Cricetulus griseus: one gene and its partners. The protein of the gene in region 4 binds, or shares a complex with, the protein of the main gene of each other region. Links are inferred from orthologs where the notes say so. Each region holds a gene or a part of one and is shown on either strand. Other genes may lie near its edges. The genes, in order: Apoo, Chchd6, Chchd3, Micos13 and Apool.

Region 1 (4,125 bases), on a different chromosome or scaffold from region 4:
CTACAACAGATGAGAACACACGAACGTGCGTTCAGCTTGATGGGCGAGAGGGTGGCCCCCTTTCCAGTCATACCCCATTTCCCAGGACAAATGGCTCTCCGCACCAGTCCCTGGTCCAGCTCCCAGCAGGGATGGGGAGCCGGCTATCTGGGACCAACCGAGGCTCCTTTGGCGCTGCCATATCATTCCAGCAGTCAGGATTCTGACTTAGAAGCGGTCAGTCATAATCCCACAGATGGTAGCTTTGCCCCATTGGCTCCTCAGCCAAGCACATACACCATAAAATGGGACAATATTCAGAGAGTGACAGACCTTGGAACACTCAGTCTTAAATGGGACATCTCCCTCAAATCCCTCCCCTCAGGGCTCAGGGAACCCTGTGGAAGAGGAGGAGGAAATATTGTTACAGCCAAAGAGGACAAAGGACACCAAGGAAACAAGGCTTTCTAAACACAGCATAACGGACACACATATGAACTCACAGAGACTGTAGCATCTTGCACAGGGCCTGCATGGGTCTGTACCAGATGGGGGCCCAGCACTGAGAGAAGTGGACCCAGGTTCCATTCCCAGAACCCAAAGGACATCTGACAACCATCTGTAACTCCAGTTCCAAGGGATTATATGCCCTCTTCTGGCCTCTGTGGACACCAGACATACATGCAGGCAAAACACTAATACACAGAAGAATTAAAACTAAAAAAAAATGTTCAGCCGGGCGTTGGTGGCGCATGCCTTTAATCCCAGCACTCGGGAGGCAGAGGTAGGCAGATCTCTGTAAGTTCGAGACCAGCCTGGTCTACAAGAGCTAGTTCCAGGACAGCCTTCAAAGCCACAGAGAAACCCTGTCCCGGAAAAAAAAGAAAATGTTTAACACATCTAAAGACACAAAGAACCCCCCTGCAATTTCCAAAACATACCCAAAGGGGTGGTATCAGTCAGTTGAGAACCACTGTTCTACAATCACATCCTTTTCCTTCTCTCTTTCTCCCCCCCCCCCCCGTTAAAAAAAAAACTTGTCTGAGTCATCAATCTGTGCTAATCTTTCATTTCTATCAATAAACTTACATGTATGAAGATTGTGAAAGATTTTTCAAAGAGTCCAAGTCAATGAACATGTTCACAGACTTATATGAATATACCTGACATGAGCATTGCTGGTTGCAGATTCAGTTTCCATTATACCTCTTCCTTCCTAAAGAACCCCACTGTGCTCATGAAACCATTCCTTTTCCATATGGTAAGCAAAGTGAATCTGTTTGACTGAAGCTAATCAGAGCCCAATATTCCCCTGATAACTGCTATTGGGCTAGGAACAGACACCTGACCCACGTTGGTTCAATCAGACCTGAAGGAAAAACATAATCCAAGCATGGGAGTTTTATCCTCTCCTCTTCTCCTAGTGAATGGCAAAGTAATGTTACTGCCACTCATCTTGTAACTGTAAGGAAAACCAACAATACCATAGTAAACCCAGAAGAGCCAGGTCTTTGATGACAATGAGCCAACAAATCAATGAGTTCAGTGTCCATCCTTCCTCTGGGTTTAGTGAGATAATTCTCCTCAGTATTTTACAATTGAGATTTTTGTTACCCTAATTTCACCAATAGAAAAAAAGTCACAGAGCAGTTAAGTGACATGCCCATTATCACATAGCTAGAAACCGGCAGCAATGGAAGGCAGAAACCATGATCTGATTTGGCAGCCGTTATTAATGCACCCCAAACACTGCAGCTGCAGGAAACTCTTAAATGGGTAGCAGAATTTTGAGATTTTATTAGCACTATTCTGTAAATATTATGTTTCTTGGAGAGTTGATTTTATAGATTTCTGGATGCGTGTGGGGTTTTGGGGGGTTTGTTTTGTTTTGTTTTGGAAAGGGTCTCTTTATGTAGGCCTGGAAATCGCTATGTAAACCAGGCTGGCCCGAACTCACCTGCCTCCACCTCCTAAGTGCTGGGGTTAAAGGCATGTGCAGCCTGTAATTTTTTGAATGACAAAATATAACTGACTTTTAAGAAAGAATAACTTTGGCCGGGCGTTGGTGGCGCATGCCTTTAATCCCAGCACTCGGGAGGCAGAGGCAGGCGGATCTCTGTGAGTTCGAGAACCAGCCTGGTCTACAAGAGCTAGTTCCAGGACAACCTCCAAAGCCACAGAGAAACCCTGTCTCGAAAAAAAAAATAAAAAAAGAAAGAATAACTTTATGATAAAATTTAGGTTTTTCGAAGTCTTCACTGTAAATGTCTATCTTACGGAGGACAGGAGTTCAAATGAAAAAACCCGTAAGGGAGGGGATAAGGATAAGAGTCGACTTTTCCACACTAACGCTCACCAGAGAGGAAGTTCCAGCTTTCCTCAAAGCAGCCTCTCCCTCACCAACCTCCCCGACATCCTCCGAAGCTGACCCTCCCCCCACCCACAAGTGCGGTTCGGAAACCTGATCCTGCCAAGCAACCAAAGCCACGAACGCTGCAGTGCCGGGACCTGGCCTCATCCTACCTACTACCCCAAAAGGGCATTAGCCGAGGAAATGGGTACTATAGCTGCGTCTTAAGTTTTCAAAGTGTTTCATTCCCCTGAGAACTACTCGAGGGCCGATCCCACCCATCTAGGGTTCCATGCCTCAGTCTCACAGGTGCTGGTACCAAGCAGTGAATGAATCGCTGTGACAGGACTTAGCCAGCCCGGAGGTGGGCAAAGCCTTGGGGACACCCGAGTCTGATCCTCAAAGAAGGCCCACGGGAGTGTGGGAAGGGACCCCGGCATCTGAGAGGGGGCGATGACAACTGTGACCCGGCTCCAAGCTCTCACCTTGAACATGTCGCTGGCAGCCGTGGCTCCGGCAGGGTCACCCCTCCCTTGGCCCCGCCCACTGAGAAAAGCGACTACGGTGGCCGGCTTAGATCCTAATTCCCTTGACCGCGAGCAGGTTGTGGTGCACGAGATGGTGATGCTCCCCCGCCCAACTCAACCCGCCAAAAGCTCAAGGCAACCGCTAGGTGGCGCATTGCGTTGCTTAGCAACGGAGAGGGGCCCGCGCGCGGGAGCCTGATGAACCCAAGCCCCGCCTTCTTGTTGGCCCTGTTTCCTCGCCGGCTGTTGCTAGGCGGCAAAAGGCGGCAGCTCCGTGTGGGCGGCAAGTTGTGGTAAGAAGGGGGAGGCTCCTTGGCACCCTGCTGCGCGGAGAACCGGCTTCGCCTCCACCACTGGGCGCCTAGCTGTGCGGATGGGAATCCTGTAAGCCGAGGTAGCCAGGCGGTGGCGCCCGACGGTCCTGGGGTGGCCGCACCAGCCTCTTAGGGAGAAGCCGCGATCGATCGTGGGGCTTCGGTTTACCTCACAAAAGGTTTTTTCCTTAAAGAATTTACCGTATGCTGAATGTTGCTTAAATTTTATGTAATAGTAAATGCACCGCGTCATTTAGTCGCGAAAACTGTCCTTTTTTTTAAGAAAAGTACTAAAGCGTAAATCTGAGAATCAAATATTTGTCCCATTTATTAATTGTAGAAGTAAAATGACAGTATTTAACTATTCGCCAGAAAAAAAGCAAGCTTTAACACTGGTTTAAATGCGTAATTTTATTGCTCCGACACAAGTGGATGGGCATGGTTCTCATTGCCTAGTGTCCAAAACTGCGGAAAATCTAAAGCTAGGATCCAATTCAAGGTAGTCTGCCTTTGAAATCTCTGCGCTAGCTTGGGCAAACGCTAGCGCGTCCCGTAGAGACGGTGTATTTCGTATTTCGTCCTGTATTTCTTGTCCTAATTCAACAGAAGATGGAAGCCACATAGGCATCCTGAAGATCTGGAGATTTGTTCGGTAAAAGGTCACTGTCCTCTTATCCTAGAAACACACCTGTCCTTAAATTAGGTGTGTGGGGTTTTTTTAGTTTGCTGCGAGAAAAAGCAACAAAAATGCCCATCTAGGGCAAACTGGAGCATTTCAGTAAAAAAATGTTAAGTTTGTCATAGTATTTAACCTTTGGCTTAGTGACTTGTGGTTAAGGTTTTTTCTTTTTAAGCAGAACTTGTAGGTGTTAGCAACCTTCAGGGAAGGGAAAACGGTAAGGTTCAGCCAGACCAACTCCCAAATGTTAAGGGCAGCTCTTTCCTTCTCAACAGA
Region 2 (4,017 bases), on a different chromosome or scaffold from region 4:
CTTTCTGTGCCAACAAAACAGGTATAATTTATAACGAGGCCATTCATCTTTTGATGTATTAAAATTTTATTTCCCCTAGATAAAAAATGCTAAGACCCTATTAATGATTTGATAGGGACACATAAGACAAGAGGGGAATGATGAACCAGCCTGCCTCTATCTTAGGCTTGAAAGCCATCTTAAAATAAAGATAAACTAGGTTATTTCCTGTTTATGATTTAATCTGTTTGTTAAGGACTGGGCTATGTCCCACCTGTAATGGGATATTAAGTAACTACAAGTGGTTAACTACTGCCTGTGCCAGGAAATAGCAACCATGCTTTTTTGTCAAAAGATTATTATGACCACCTGTTGTTATGATCACCTTGTTATGACTGACTACCTTATTAGGACCACCTTGCAACCATTGTCTTCGTTTCATGAGAGGTTGTTATGACAACTCCTTTTATATCCCCAACTATTTGCCTGCCCAACTCTGCATTTGGAATCTCCCTCCTCCTGAGCTATAAAATCCTTATCTTGCCTATGTCCAAGTCTGACCTATTGAACCCCGCCTTAGGGAGAGCAGTCTGTGTACACAAAAAAGTTTGCTTTAATTAATTGCTTGCTTTAATTAATTTGGCCATGTTGATTTGGGTTGGGGGGGGTCTTTCTCCTCAAATCTTTGGGATTAACAGTTGGTGCCTAGGATAGTTTTTCCCTGGCCTTCTCATGATGAACTACACTCACCTTTAGGTCTCAAAGCTCTATAAGGTTACCATCATTTATTAATTTGTCTCACGGTATTACGGTGCAGTTTCCCAAGTACTACACTAAATTCACTACTTGTGTTTGTTTCCTTCATGACTGAAACCTAAGGAGGCAGGTCTCCGGGGGTAGGAGTGGAATTGGGGTTGGTGTGTGTGTGTGTGTGTGTGTGTGTGTGTGTGTGTGTGTGTGTGTGTGTGGTGGTGGGGAGTTGTTGCTCAGCCCTTGCAGTTGCTTCAGCATCCTTGCTAGTTTATTTTCAGAACACGACCTTTGCTTTGCTTCCTGGATAACATTTATAAGAAACCTTGACCTTGCCTCAGTGTCTGTTACACCCTCTATCCAATTTTTCAGCCTACAAGCACCCTGGCCTCTGAGAACCACGCCCCCCCTCCAGTGGCGCCAGAATGCTAGACTACAACTCCCACAAGGCAACGCGCGCCAGCAGCAGCAGCCAATAGAACGCGGTGTTGCTGGCCTGTGTCCCGAGTGGAGAGTCTAGGGTGCGGAGCGGCGTCGTCCTGGTTGCTGTGGAGCCGGCTCGCGTGGCCGCACGCCCTGTCTGCCTACTGTCATGGGCAGCGCCGAGAGCGCCGAGGCCCGAAGGGTGTCTTTCGAGATGGATGAGGAGGAGCGGGTCCGGGTGCTGCAGGGCATCCGGGTGAGAGGCGCGGCGGGAGGGCGCGGGCCCGAGGAGTTTGCGGGCGGGAGCGGGAGCCGCCGTTCAGGGACCAGATAGATGGGGGAGGCCACTGGCACTGTGGGCAGCCGGCCGCCTCTAGTCGGTTTCCACGCCATGGCTCTGCTCCCCCGTTTCCGGATTTGTTCCGCTCTCTACCGCATCTCGCCTGGTGTGTGCGACTGGTTGCGTGTGCTGTAGCACTTCTTGAAAGTGTTCCCCCATTTCCAGTCTTGATAACGTGCCTTCGTGAGGCCCCAAAAGGGGGAGTTTTAGCTACCGTATAATTCATCCACCCTTCTCCTAAAACCTTAATGGTGGGTCTCTACCATGTTGAAGAGGAGGAAACGCCTCACTTGCTTTTACAAGCTGCCCTGGTGCCCCACCAACCCCTTCATCCCTTTCCAGGCCTGTTCCTCACCTTCATAATACACTTATTTTGCTTCAGGACCTCCTTGTTCTCCCCAGAAGATCCCATCTTTTTGATGTTTCTTCAGTTACCATTAATCTGGCAATCATCGTGTTACAGCTCAGATGTCATCCAAAAATCCTTCCTTGACCACAGAGTCTCAAGCAGCTTCCTACAGCACTGTCACACGTTTATAATTTTCACAGCACTCAGCACAGTTTGAAACAAATTGTGTTTATTGGGTTTCCCATTACAGTTCTGGCTGCTTCCTTGGCTGAAGTTCTTTATCCCCAGAACTTAGAAGAATAAAAGCTCCTGTTTTAGTGCAGAGTGGCAGCCCTTTACAGATACTAATTTTCAATAGACCTATGAGAAGTAAAATTGTTAGTGTCCCCTCCTTTGTTTTGTTTTGAGACAGGGTCTCACTGTTTAGCTCAGGCTGGCTCAGAACTCCCAGATCTGCCTGCCTGTGTCCTGAGTACTAGGATTAAGTCACACACCACTAAGTTTGGTCTCTTAGTCCATTTTGTCACTTACGAGAACTGAGGTGCTATTGGCATAACTTGTCCAGGGTCACTTAGGTAGAAAAGCAGGAGGCCTAAGACTAAAGTAGTTTATTCTGTGCAGTACTTGCTTCTACACCTATGTGTGACACATAGTGGGTACCTGGTGTATAATTGTTAAGTGCTTACATGAATGAACTCAGTGAAATAAATCAAATTTAAACAAAATGTTCTGAGTTGAGTCTAGGTGAATTAGAAGGTTCAGAAAAAGACTTCCAAGGGTATAACATCTAAGCTCATTAGTTGTGTGACCTTACATGAATGAGTTGTTTATTGAATTTCACTTGCCCCACTTGAGATTAAGAGGGGAAGGTTATCCTGGGTACTACCAAGGAAACTGTGTAGAAGACATGCAGAATGTTTTGTAGAGGCCTCTCAGAATATCCAGCTTCTTAGGTGCTGCCCAGGTGGTGTTGTTGACTTGGCTTGTGGCAAGGATTAAATGGGGGAAGATGGCTTCTGCTGAAGGCTGAGAGGTAAGAAATTGAGGTAGAATTTAGGAAGATAGCCTTGGCTCAGGATATTTTTCACCTTTGTTACTGGGTTTCTTGTTTTGGGGGTGATGCAGGCCTGAGTCTTCACAGGTTTAGAGAAGTACCATTGGAGGTGACCCTGACTTTTTGTTTCTGGTTCTCATAATAATCCTGTAGAGTATAAAGTCTTTACAATTATTTTCTCTGCTTTTCAAAAATATTCTCTCTCTCTCTCTCTCTCTCTCTCTCTCTCTCTCTCTCTCTCTCTCTGTGTGTGTGTGTGTGTGTGTGTGTGTACCTGCACGTGCTTGCTTGTCTGTATTTGTCTGTATGTGTACCACATTCGTGCACATGCCCAGGGTGGCCAAAAGAAGGGTCAAAGCTCCTGAAATTGGAGATGTAGGTTATTGTGAGCTGCTGCCTCTGGGTGCTGGGAACCAAACTCAAGTCCTCTTGAAGAGCAATAAGCATTTTTAATCACAGAGCCTTCCTTCTACAGCCTAGTTTCTCCACACTCTAGTATAAAGATGGAATATCAAGCTTGGTTCCTAAGGCACCATTTGAGTATCATTTGGGACTAATCTAGATCTATCAGACTCCCTCCAGCCTGATAATACATGTTTAGCAGTCTGAAATTTTTACTTTGCTTCTGCCTGGCCTGTCAGGAATGTTAGTACTTACTTACTTTTATAGGCAATGAAACTGGGGGAACTTCAGTAGTTTTTAGCTTCCTTTTTTAGTTAATCTGAGAGACTAAATGGCTTTTCCAGGGTCAGTCAGTGAGGTGCTTGGCCCCTTGTTGGGAAAGCCATGTCTAGTGTGCCTGGGTTTAAAGAGGAAGAAAAAACATTAAGGTAAAGAAGTGTTTGGTGGAGGGCCTGTTGTTATTAGTAGTTACTTGAGGGTTGAGGAGTTCACTCGGTCTTCAGATAAGTAAAAATAAATAATACATATTTTAACAATTAGATCAATAAAGCAGTTACTCTAGTGAACACATGAGAAGTCAATAAGAGGTAGACTCCAAAAGAGAATATCTGCCCTAGGTGTTTCAGGAAAAAAAAAAATTCTTAGAGACCACTTGTATTTAATCCCCGGGGCCTGATTTCAGTGCTCTTGCTTCCTTAAAATCAAGTGTTAGGGCCTTGC
Region 3 (3,996 bases), on a different chromosome or scaffold from region 4:
TGCATTAACCTGTGAAATCCAAAACTGGAGTTTGGGCCTCATCTGTCCATGTTTTAACAACTGCCTGAAGTCAAAGCCTTGCTTACAGGCTGAGAATACTACTCTCATGCCTGGAAAGCAAACAAGAGGACCGGTTGAAGCCAAGCAAAACATCAAGAGCAGCTAAAAGAGAGTTACAAGACTCCCACAGGATCCTCACTCTCCTGAGGGCACAGCATACTCTCCTGTTTAGTTATGTTGTGGTCTCACAGGTTTAACCTCCAGCTCTCCTGAGAAACTCCAAGTGTAAACACTGACAAAGCACTAGACACATATGCCAAACAAACACCAGACAGGGAAATGCAGTCAAAAGTGACTTGTCCATTTGGTAAGTTATACTAAATCCTACAGAGCAAAGATCTGAACCCAGGTTTGTTTGATTCCAGAGCACTTTGTGAAAGGAACCATACCATAATAATGGCCACTTTTTATTTATTAATATACAAAGCAGCTTGGAATAGAGCTCAATGGTAGAGGGCTTGTCTAGCACATGTGAGGACCTAATTCAATTCCCAGCACTGCAAAACAGTAATAATAATAATAATAATAATAATAATAATAAACTAAAAGTCTACAATTCACTGGGAGTTTTACATACCTTAAACTCCCATCTATCCAAAGGAAGTGATAACATTTGGACTTATGGATAAGGATGTGTCAACAGAGAAGTAACTTGTCCAGTGCCACAGACCAAACATGTCAGCTTAATTCCAAGTTGGCTTTCTCCTGATGACCTCAAGGAAGCCAAAATGACCTCCACATCCTCACAGTTCAACAGCTTACCAGTTTTGGAAGAAACTGGAATAGGCTACATTTCTTCTCAAAAAACTGACAGTGGCAAGAAACTCATATGACTTCAGAGCTGGAAAAGATAGAGATTGGGAAGGTGTACTCGGCTCCACCAGTCTGAAGAGAAGAAAACTGAACAGAGCTCAGGAAATGACAGGGCATCCTTGAAAAAGACAGGAAGTAAAGAAACCTGGCCCAGGCCATTCACAGGGGAGTGGCATACAATGCCTGTGAAATAAGGCTGCCTGGCCAGGACTGTATCAACAGGGAGAAAGGAAGCTTACTTCAAGTTGTGTGGCAGAAGAGATTGGGGGGGAAAAAAAAAAACAACTCACAAAATTTCTTTAAAAACAATCTCACCACTTGAGTCTAATACCTACTCCCTACTGCCATGCCTATCACTCAACATCTGATAATTTATCCATCACTGTGCTGTGGCCAAATTCTCTTTCAATTTGTTTTGTGTCTGCACCGTGTCTGCACTGAAACATGAGGACATGGACCTATGCATTTTTCCAACCAAATCTTCTCACCTTAAGCTTTCTCTTTGTTCTTAAGTTTTCACTCTCTAGTATGGAACATTCATAGCCTAGCGACAACTTACTTTTTTCTTCCATCTCTGTATAAAACTCATGCTTGTAGTAAGTCTTATCTTACTACAAAAAGTAGTGAGAATTGCTGATCACGGACCAAAAACTCAGTTCAAACAGTTTCAAGTTTCTATCAGGAAAACTTTAATAAGCTCTTTTCAAACTAACAAATTTCAAAGGAAGAAGTTTTTAAACACTTGACATGTTTTATTTCCCAGTAACAAAAGCAAAAGAAGGATGTTACATATTTAACCGACTAATAGCAGTTGTGTAAAAACAGAAAATATAAGGTACTCTAAAACCTTCTGGAGCCACAGTGCTTTATTTACTAGGTACAGGTGTGCTTCCCAAACCATGACGCTCCAAAGTCAGGTGCAGAATGTTAACGAAGTTAGGGCGGGTACCCTGACATCCTAGCGAAAACACAGCTTTCGGTTGTGTAGCAAGTCCACGCAGAGGGTACTTAAAAGGTCTCTACAACATATCCCTCAGAACGGACTCTCTCAGTTCTACCAACCTTGAAGAGCTGCAAACTGACCTCTGCCCAATCAGGCTGGCAGACAGCAGGCCTGCCTGTAGTAACTGGGCCTGGTTCAAAACTTGGGCCAACAAACCGCAGGGGAGGCGCCTGGGAAAACGACATTCATCAGGCGAAAGGGAAGGAGCCAGAAGTTAGCCAGCGGGGCCAGGAATGACTTGAAGGCATGTGTGTGTGTGTGTGTGCACGTGTTGGGGCCAGGGTTGCTACTAGAAGCGGGGCACTGAATGGCAGAGGCAAAGAAGGGTCATCCTTAAAACACCAATTCGCCCAGAGAGAGAGAGAGAGATGTGGAAAAGCAAGTCTTGAACAGGAGGCACACAGGCCGGCACAGTGAGGCAGGAGCTTCAGTTAAATCCTGCAACTAGTGAGCAAGGACGACGTGGTGACCGGGCACCCCATCTGTGTGTGCCAGCACAGTGCCTGGCGGCTGGCACGCAACCAACTTTCTCTGAATGAACGTTCCGAGTCTTGAAGCTACAGGCTTCTTCCCAGAGACCCAGGCTTGCAGCGGGACAGCAGCGCAAGCCGAGAGCGAGCGTGGAGGGTAGGTGCAGCGATCGCGGGCGCGTCTCAGCGTCGGGGTCCGAGTTCAGGGGCTGCCCTCCGCCCGCCCACGGCACTCACCCGGATGCCCTTCACCACCGTGATGTTCTCGTTCTCGTCGGCCTCGAAGGTGACCCGGCGGGTGCTGGCGGTCCCGCCCATGGCTCCCGCTTCTGTCCCCGCAGAGTCCGAGCGTGGACCCACGAGCACGGCAGGACGCGCGCGCCAAGGCCCCGGGAACGCTTCCCCGGCAGGAGCAAGGCCACGACCCCGAGAAGCAAGGAGAAGGCGCCGGTCCCGAAAGCCCGCCTCCTCCGGTCACGTGCCAGGAGCAGGACGCCCCGGGTTGGCCCGAGAAGCAAGCCGCCCGCCTCTTATCGGAAGGTGCTCCAGGATTGGTGGACCCGGACCCGGATGCTATGGCAACAGGTGTGTGCTTAGCAAGGCTTCCGGAGCCTCTGAGTGTAGTGGGAGTTGTAGTCTTGACCTGGCGTGGTAGGTGTTATAACCATCTTTTCTTGCTCCAGAGCTTGCAAGGGGAGTAGAGCATTCTGGGAGTTGTAGTCTGACAGCCCGGGAGGTTTGTAACCAGTCTATGTTCAAGGAAGTTTGTTCACCCAATCAGCGTGATTCGCAATTTACTCTAGAAACTTGGGTCAGTTAAGTAAGCAGTGGTTCTTCACACAACTGAAAGCTAGATGTGGGAGATGCGCTCCCCTAAACAAGCTGTTCTTACATTCCTATTCTCAAATCTCTGGCACTAAACTTAACATTTTGCCATTACTAGAGTTTTAGACTACTTAAAATTTCAGGAGCAGACACTGTATGTGCTTATGTTCTGTCTCATGGCCTATGTTCGCCTGTGTGAAATAAAACTTTCAATGTTAGGGCTTTCAAATATGCACACGAAAATACATAGGAAAAAATTACTTACACCAACCATGCAGGTAGAACACTATTTCCCATGTCTGTGTCTCCCCTGCTTATCCATAAGTTACATCACCTGACAATTAGGCCGAGAAAAGTAATCGCCAAAGTTGGCATGAATTCGTGGAGGAATTAATACGGCATTAGACAAAATTGAGAAGACCTATTTTGGAAAGTTTCTAGTTCAGTACTTTACCTCCATGAAGAATATAAGATTTTAGGTTATCCATGTATTTCGTTTCGATTTTGGTGGGTTTTGTTTTGTTTTTGCTGAACACTTGCTAAAAGCACAGTGTGATCTTAGATTTACAAGGGCAGATAAATACTCTTTAGAAGTTAGATGGGTGGGGCTGTAGATATAGGTCAATTGTTTGTGAAAGGCACACAGCCCTGCTATGTGAGGGAGGGAGAGTGAAGGAGAAGGGGGAGGCAGAAAGGAGAGGGGGGAAATGGGAGGGGACAGAACTGGCTGAACATGGACTTTTTTTTTTTTTTCAATTCGTCCTGTTTGGCATTAAAAGCCCCAGAATATAACATACCATGGCATCCTTTTATGTCAGAGGGATC
Region 4 (3,516 bases):
AGTCGAGCTCCAGGGAACGGGACGCCTTCTGGATAGTGTGGGCAATGTAGACATACACATGAACACATGTGCACATGCTGTGCTAGTCAGTATTTTTTGTCAACCTAATAGTCATCTGGGAAGAGGGACAGTAAACTGAGATAATGCCTCCATCAGATTGGCCTACAGGCATGTTTTGATTGATGAGTCCAACACAGCACCACCCTGGGCTAGTAGGCCTGGGTGCTATTTAGAGAGCAGGCTAAGCGATCCTCCATGGCTTCTGCTTCAGGCCTGTCTCTTGTTCCTGGCTTCCCTCAGTGATGGAGTATGGCCTGAGAGGAGCAAGCTGAAACAAACCCCCTCCTGCCTGAACCACTTTCAGGCATGGTGCTTTATCACAGCAAGAGAAAACTAGAAACAACCAACCCCTTCTGGGCTCTAAGCAGGGATCCCCAATGGACAGGACTTTCTCCACAAGCAAAGGTTGCCAGAGCTACGACCCCCCAAAACACAGATCGGGAAACATTCCCAAGTTGTTTATTGGACCAGCAATGCTGGAAGCTGCCCAGAGTGGGTCCCGACTGTGGTAGAGTCCTGCCCACCCCGTAGCACGGGGCAGGTGGCATCCATTACTTGCTGTGCTCTTTCACATAATCCCAGCCCTCCTTGGAGTACTCTCGGGCCTTGCTGGGGGCCACGGACAAAGCTGCCATGACAGAGATGATGCCTGCAAGGATAATGCATGGGTGCCAGTGAGAACCCAAATGCCAGAACCATTCTCACAGCCAACCCCCAAAGAAGCCCAAGAGTGGTAACTGGAGCAGGAGTGAGTGGGGCCACCCCTTCCCTTCGTGTTGTTTTAGAGAAGTTCCTCTGTGTAGCCCTGGAACTAAAAATCTTCCTGCCTCGGCCTCCCAAATGCTGGAGTCATAGGCATGGGCCACCATGCCCAGTCCTTTCTACTTAGCTCAATAGGCGACATTCAGGCACACAGGAATGGAAAGGAACGGTGAGGCAAACAGGGCTGGGATGCCGAGGCATCCCCCAAGCAGAGGCATAGGGACCTACCTGAGTTCCAGGATTCACGGAAGTTCGGAAAGTTAATCTTTGGAGGGGCTGGGAGCTGGGAACAAAGAGGAGCACAGGTGCTGGTGCGTTGGGGATAGGTCACACCTTATCACCCAGACCCAGTGATACAAATTCCACGCAACAGGTGGTACAGGCACCAAGGCCACCCAGAATTGACCTGCCAAGCCCCATCCTCCCTCCCAGCCAGATTACCTGTGGCATCTCCAAACCCGTCTGCTGGCATACATACTGGCTGAACTGGTACATTGCTGGTGGCACCACCTCCTCGGCCTTTCTTAGAGCAGCCTCGCTCTTGTCACTGGGTCCCAGCAGCTCCTGGTCATAAACAAGGTAGACTGCTCCCCCAGCCACACTTCCCTTGATAAGGAACCTACGGGGAGACAGGAAGGGACTGAAGCCGGGGACCTGAACAGTTCACCAGGTGACACCCTGGGAGCCCAGGGAACAAGGATCATTCCTTTGCCTTGTGTGACACGACTTGTGGTAAGCCGAGTCTTAAAGTAAGAGACAGTGGGTCATTCGAAATCCTGCCGCCAGCAGGAGCCCAGGGGAGCTTCCTTCATGTCATTCAATGAAGGGGCGACGGGCAAGCTTTCCCACGCGTCCCCACTGCACATACGGGAAAACTTAAGCTGTAGGTGACATGGGCTGGCTGGGGGGAAGGAGAGAAGAGATGCAGTTAGCCTTGCCAGCAAACCCGGTTCCTTCCCTACATGGGCCGTGAGAAGAGGTCCAGAAGCAACCGGAAGTAAGCCTTCGCAGGACACCCAGCGGCCAGGCACATATGCCTATAGCACGGAACTTTCTCGAAGGTTCAGGGCCCAACCCGAGTCTCCACGCACCTCATTAGCGACCATACTCGAGCCACCATAGTCGATCCCTCGCTTCACTCCCCGCGCAAGGACACGCGACTCGCCCGCCGCTTCCGGTGGGCGATGTTACCGAGGTTCCTGGGAAAGGTAGTAGTCGCCGTGAGCCGCAAAGGACTCCGGGAACAGCAATAGGGTTAGACTCAGTATACCGAGGACAGTGGGTGCCGCAATTCTTTCTGGGAAATGTAGTCGGGGAGGGGGGGAACAAACCAGAGACGAGCTAGGCCGCGAAGCCTCCTGGAAAATGTAGTTTGGAGGGTCGATGGAAGGAGCCCTCAGAGGACGCGTATGGGATCCTCGCGCCTGCGCGAAGGATTGAGCGTGCCTGAGGTCTAGCGAGCCTAGGAGGCAGTTACCACAGCAACGCGAGGGCGGGATTGTTCCGGAAGGATAGTCTTTCATCACGTCTCGGGGTGTGTCTTTCACCTAAAGGGGAAAGCAGAGGCCGAGGCTGGCTGGTTGAAATCTGGCTAAGGTTTTTGCCAGTGAGTCCTATCCCCCCATATGCCAGGAAGCTGGGGGTCATATGATACGGGTTGGCAGTGTGTGGTCCCAGGTCAGGTAAAGGGAGCAAAAAGTGAGGTAACAAAGGTGATGATCATATAGATCCCTGTTCTGCTGCAAGGTAGGGATAAGTGGTTGCTGGAGACCGGAACAGGGAACTGACAAGCTTTACCCTTTTATACAGCTTTAACTGGAGAACCCAGAGATCATGGGGCAGAGAGTTCTTAGAGGGTCCGAATGCTAGCCACAGTCTTGCATTCACTGTGCTGCTGCAGGTACAGGCCCATCCACTGTCCAATTCTGTCTACCCACATACCCTTTCATCCACGAATACACCCACCCATCCATCTGCCCACCCACCCCCCGCCCATCCCTCCACCCATCCCTCCACCCACCCCTCCACACACCCACCCACCCATCCATCCATCCATCCATCCACCCATCCATCCACCCACTTACCTTGATGGCTTGCTTTAATCAGAGCCTGGAGTTTCATAGGTTCACACTGGAAATGGTTAGGTGGAGGGAGATTTGTGGACTTCACAACCCAGCGCTTCTCCCTATGCTATTTCAGCATTTTGAGTTTGGGAAACTTCCGCTCCATGTCTTCCAGACTTAGGTAGAAATTCCAAGGTAAGAAAGACCTGTGTTGCCAGACGGTGGGGGCACACGACTTTAATCCCAGTACTCTGGAGGCAGAGGCAGGCGATCTCTAATGACACACAGACACACATGCAGACAAAACACCTATACACTGCCGGGTGGTGGTGGCCACGCCTTTAATCCCAGCACTCGGGAGGCAGAGGCAGCAGAATCTCTATGAGTTCGAGACCAGCCTGGTCTACAAGAGCGAGTTCCAGGACAGCCTCCAAAGCCACAGAGAAACCCTGTCTCGAAAAACCAAAAATAAATAAATAAATAAATAAATAAATAAAACAAAGAGCAAAAAAACAAACACTATACCCGAAAACCATACACACACACACACACACACACACACACACACATATATTGTTTGTTTTTTCAAGGCAGAGTTTCCGTGTAGCCCTGGCTATTCTAGAACTCTCTT
Region 5 (3,985 bases), on a different chromosome or scaffold from region 4:
ATCTGAGCTGACAAAGCAGCTGCAGGAGGACGGAGAAAGGGCAGGAGCCGACCGGCTACCAGCATAAAGGGGAGGGGCTGTGGTGATGACGTAAGTCAAGCCGAACTGCTTTGTCCCTCTGCGCTCTCCGTCGGAAAAACGAACCGAGAGGGTCATAGGTATGGCGGCTTTTAGGGTAAGTCAAAAGAAACTTAGTTTTCCACTCCCCACTCGCTTTGAGCTCACAGCATTCCAGTAATTGTAGAAAGAACCATCTATCGTAACTCCGGGAGGTGCGACTGTGAGGATCGGAACCTTTAAGACTTGCAGTCTCGACACACTTGCCTTGCCGCCTCCATAATCCCCTGCCGTTAACTGTTTACAGCACGGCGGGCGTTAGTCCGGTAACCTGCTAGGTGATGAAAAGGCAGGGGCAACTAGCCGCTCCCACAAAGAGAAAAACAATCTTTGGCATTTGTCTTAGTGCTCAGGGCAGGGCTCCATGACCCGGACGTAGGACTTCCTTCAATAATTGCTCGGGGCCAAAACAGAGACCAGACGTCCCAGAATCTCTACTGGACGTGGGATTTTGCATAATGTTGTTGCTCCCAGTCGAACAACAGGTTTCTTTGGAGTATTATGAGAAAAGGTGCTTTTCTGTAGGAATGTGGGTAGAGGAAGCGAACTAGCTGACTCTTAGGTTTCAACATCAGTTTACACATACTTATGCACTGTAGTTTTTAAGTGTCTAATGACCCTGTGAGGCTTGGGGGAGCTAAGAGTGTCAGTAATTCATTCACCCGATGTTGGTTTTAGGTGTTCTTCATTTCTCATTCTTACTGCATTTCTGCAGTTTGGGACCTCATACTTTCCCTTGAATTATGGGCCGCTCAGCTATCTGGACTCTACTCCCTTTATTCCTCTGATGGAATCCATTTTCTCCTGTACTACTATAGTACTTACACAGAAATGAGAGCCTGCACCTCTACTAGCCTTTATAGCACTCCATTATCTGCTCTCAGGGGTCTGCTTACACTTCTAGATAACAACCCTTCTCCTAGCCTCTGCTCCCCAGCTTCCTCTCCTGTCACCTAGGAATCTGTACTTCTTACTTTATCTCTCCATGCCCCCTTTTACCTGCTCTTTCTGCAATTCTTAAAGTGCCCTTGCCCATTCTTATTTAGTTTCTACCAGGCATGGCCAACTGACCTTTTGATAATGCAACCAACTTGTCATCTACCAAGTTCATTCTGGAGAATCACAATCAAGGTATAAATAAACACAAAAATCTCCAAAACATTATCCCCACATTTGTAATGTTTAAATAAGTTTATGATTTTGTGTTGGGCAGGATGTGGTCTTTTGACCATAGGTAGGACAGACTTTCTCACTTTGCTAAGGGAATGTCCCTGACCAGCTGGAATGATCCACACGAGATAGTTATTGACAACCATATTCATAAGTTAAAAATTCTATGTCTTTTTTTGTTTGTTTGTGGGTTTGTGACTCTGAAATGTTTCTTGGTGCCCAAGTTCAGGGATACATAGTTTTTAAGGCAAAACTCACAAAGACACATGAGGGTCAGAGTAACCTTGAAACATTTCTGGCAGAGTATAGTAGTTATTTCAGACATAACTTTCCAGTTATTTTGGTTAATACATCTGGACTATGGTCAAGGCTATGGAAATTTCACATGTGTTGCTAAGGCAGACATGACCATTGCAGGGAGGGTATAAAGGGCTGAGAGCTATCTAAGCAAACAGAAAATGAAATCAGAATATGATGGCATTACCTTGGTAATTTCATTCCCCCATTTAAAAAATTATTTTGAAATTTTTTATCTTGCAAAGGGGTGAACACTGGTTCTTGAAGATCATTACCCTAACAGAGGTATTTATTATATAAGGCCCCATGGCAAGTCTTATAAAAAGGTTGAGTAGGGGACCATCCAGGCCAGTGAAAAGTTGTGAACCATGGGTTTTAATCAGACATGTTATAGGACCAGAAATTACTTCATTTTTGTTTTTGATTTAAGTTATTTTTAACTTTCTGTAAATTATTTTTTTGGGGGGGGTGTTTTGAGACCGGGTTTCTCTATGGCTTTTGAGGTTGTCCTGGAACTAGCTCTTGTAGACCAGGCTGGTCTCGAACTCACAGAGATCCGCTTGCCTCTGCCACCCTAGTGCTGGGATTAAAGGCATGTGCCACCACCGCCTGGTGTAAAGATTTTTTTTAATGATAACTTTTGATTTGTTAGCACAGAAGCAACAAGTCTCTCATGGTGTCACACAGTCTTCCCTGGGACATGAAAATTAAGTTTAAGCCTTGCCTCTTTTGGAGGCCTGTTTCTGTCAGAGACTATCTGGCATGGAGTGTAACTGAAGGTGTCTAATGTCTATCTATTTGATAAATTATCTGTTGTAGGCTCCTTTTTCCCCTTATTAGAGCTGTAGTGTTCAAGGCAGTAGTCTCTGTCACTCCCATTTCTACCATCAATGGAACAAGGAAACGTGCAGCCTCCTGTACTGCCGGGGGGGAACATTTTTCCAGTAGTGCTCACAGCCAATGTAAGGACTCTGGCAGGTGCTGTTAGCAAGGTGGAAGTTATGGATGGTCTAGTCAGTTTCTCCAAATAATTGTTTAGATCACATAAGGAAATTGACATAGGGTTAAAGTGTATTTCAGATTCCCAATTCTGGGCCACCCACATGGCCCCGGTGTCACTTCTGGTTTTGGTCCAGGGTTAGTTCTCAAAGCACCCCCAACCCATCTTATTGACTGACCTCTGTAAGGCTTATTAAACATAAAAAACTGCTCTTTTTGTATGCCATGATCTCCATGGCAGTTTCATTGGTTGTTTGGAGATGGAGTATTTTGTGATTTGAGGCCCAAATCCAGGTTATGAATCGCCTCTGCAGTGGCTCCTGCAAACTATTGGTTGTGTCCACCAGGGGCAGCAGCAATCAGGCAAATAGCCAGTGAAGGTTGCACCAACCAGGCTCCAACGTCCAAGTCACTGGAGGAACAGAGTGACTGTGGGCTGCACTAGCCAAAAGAGGTCTGCTTTCTATGGTTATCCCTGAAGCCCCAGTGGTCTGGTGCCCCTCAGCAGTGCTCTGTGGTAATCTGTGGTAGCCTGTGCTATGCAGCAGTTAGGTGGTGTTGCAGCAAATGGTGCTATTCTAGTGCTGTGCTGTAAAAGCATAATAGAAGGCTTTTCTAGCAGTGACATTTGGCTAGACATGAATCCTTTGTTCTTTTCCTTTTGCTTGAGGAAGTCCCTCAGATAAAACCCCTTGTCAGCTTTATAGTTGTCAGTCATCCTCTCTCTTACATTGTCCTTCAAACAGGACGCTAGAAATTTGAATGCAGATGTTTCAGCAGAGAATTCCCTGCCAAGTGTAAACTAGTTAGCATGCATTAACAAAAACTGTCCCAACATGTGTGGTAGTGCACATCTGTAATCCCGTCAGGAGGCAGAGGGGGGTGGATCTCTGAGTTTGAGGTCGGTGTGGTCTGTAGAGTGAGTTCCCCTATATATAGAAAAAGGAAAAGGAAAGCTGTCCTTCCAATGTCCCCATCCCTGCTGTGTCTTAGGAAACAGAATCTCCACCTTCCTCTCCTCCTCATCTTCCTCTCTCCCCCTCCCCCCTTCTTTTTAGTAACCCAATGAAGTAAGCAGGGTGTAGGTGTGGAATCCTCCACTGGAGAATGGTCTCCATATTTGGGGTTAGGCCACTGAGGAAAACTGACTCTCTCTGCTCCTGCTGTCATACACTGTCCATGGATCCTCTTTAGGGCAGAGTAGACCCTCCCATTCCAATCCTTGCTGGAACTTTGACTGTCTTGATGTAGGGTGGGCGAACTGAGGTTTTGAATTCATGGTTGCTCCAGCATGCATACAGAAGATGTTTCCCAGTGATTTTCTTCTGATTCTCACAAACTTCGCATCTTTCATGGTATTTTTGAGCCTTAGGGGACAACAAATGTGATGCAGATATCCAGT

Evidence for each region.
Region 1: Micos13 (region 4) and Apoo share a complex: the UniProt entries of both Homo sapiens proteins name them as parts of the mitochondrial contact site and cristae organizing system (MICOS) complex. The link is inferred for Cricetulus griseus from reciprocal best matches to the Homo sapiens genes MICOS13 and APOO.
Region 2: Micos13 (region 4) and Chchd6 share a complex: the UniProt entries of both Homo sapiens proteins name them as parts of the mitochondrial contact site and cristae organizing system (MICOS) complex. The link is inferred for Cricetulus griseus from reciprocal best matches to the Homo sapiens genes MICOS13 and CHCHD6.
Region 3: Micos13 (region 4) and Chchd3 share a complex: the UniProt entries of both Homo sapiens proteins name them as parts of the mitochondrial contact site and cristae organizing system (MICOS) complex. The link is inferred for Cricetulus griseus from reciprocal best matches to the Homo sapiens genes MICOS13 and CHCHD3.
Region 5: Micos13 (region 4) and Apool share a complex: the UniProt entries of both Homo sapiens proteins name them as parts of the mitochondrial contact site and cristae organizing system (MICOS) complex. The link is inferred for Cricetulus griseus from reciprocal best matches to the Homo sapiens genes MICOS13 and APOOL.

The regions. Positions count from the first base shown.
Region 1 is NC_048604.1:75,618,001-75,622,125, forward strand, and holds the start of Apoo (MICOS complex subunit MIC26), read right to left. Parts: upstream 2,809-4,125; 5' UTR 2,770-2,808; coding exon 2,626-2,769; intron 1-2,625. UniProt on the Homo sapiens protein: Component of the MICOS complex, a large protein complex of the mitochondrial inner membrane that plays crucial roles in the maintenance of crista junctions, inner membrane architecture, and formation of contact sites to the outer membrane.
Region 2 is NC_048601.1:53,698,641-53,702,657, forward strand, and holds the start of Chchd6 (MICOS complex subunit MIC25), read left to right. Parts: upstream 1-1,211; 5' UTR 1,212-1,321; coding exon 1,322-1,408; intron 1,409-4,017. UniProt on the Homo sapiens protein: Component of the MICOS complex, a large protein complex of the mitochondrial inner membrane that plays crucial roles in the maintenance of crista junctions, inner membrane architecture, and formation of contact sites to the outer membrane.
Region 3 is NW_023276806.1:194,875,401-194,879,396, reverse strand, and holds the start of Chchd3 (MICOS complex subunit MIC19), read right to left. Parts: upstream 2,806-3,996; 5' UTR 2,665-2,805; coding exon 2,584-2,664; intron 1-2,583. UniProt on the Homo sapiens protein: Component of the MICOS complex, a large protein complex of the mitochondrial inner membrane that plays crucial roles in the maintenance of crista junctions, inner membrane architecture, and formation of contact sites to the outer membrane.
Region 4 is NC_048598.1:96,937,047-96,940,562, reverse strand, and holds Micos13 (MICOS complex subunit MIC13), read right to left. Parts: upstream 2,096-3,516; 5' UTR 1,943-2,095; coding exon 1,914-1,942; intron 1,442-1,913; coding exon 1,264-1,441; intron 1,106-1,263; coding exon 1,051-1,105; intron 710-1,050; coding exon 612-709; 3' UTR 504-611; downstream 1-503. UniProt on the Homo sapiens protein: Component of the MICOS complex, a large protein complex of the mitochondrial inner membrane that plays crucial roles in the maintenance of crista junctions, inner membrane architecture, and formation of contact sites to the outer membrane.
Region 5 is NC_048604.1:59,659,091-59,663,075, reverse strand, and holds the start of Apool (MICOS complex subunit MIC27), read left to right. Parts: upstream 1-1,173; 5' UTR 1,174-1,197; coding exon 1,198-1,248; intron 1,249-3,985. UniProt on the Homo sapiens protein: Component of the MICOS complex, a large protein complex of the mitochondrial inner membrane that plays crucial roles in the maintenance of crista junctions, inner membrane architecture, and formation of contact sites to the outer membrane.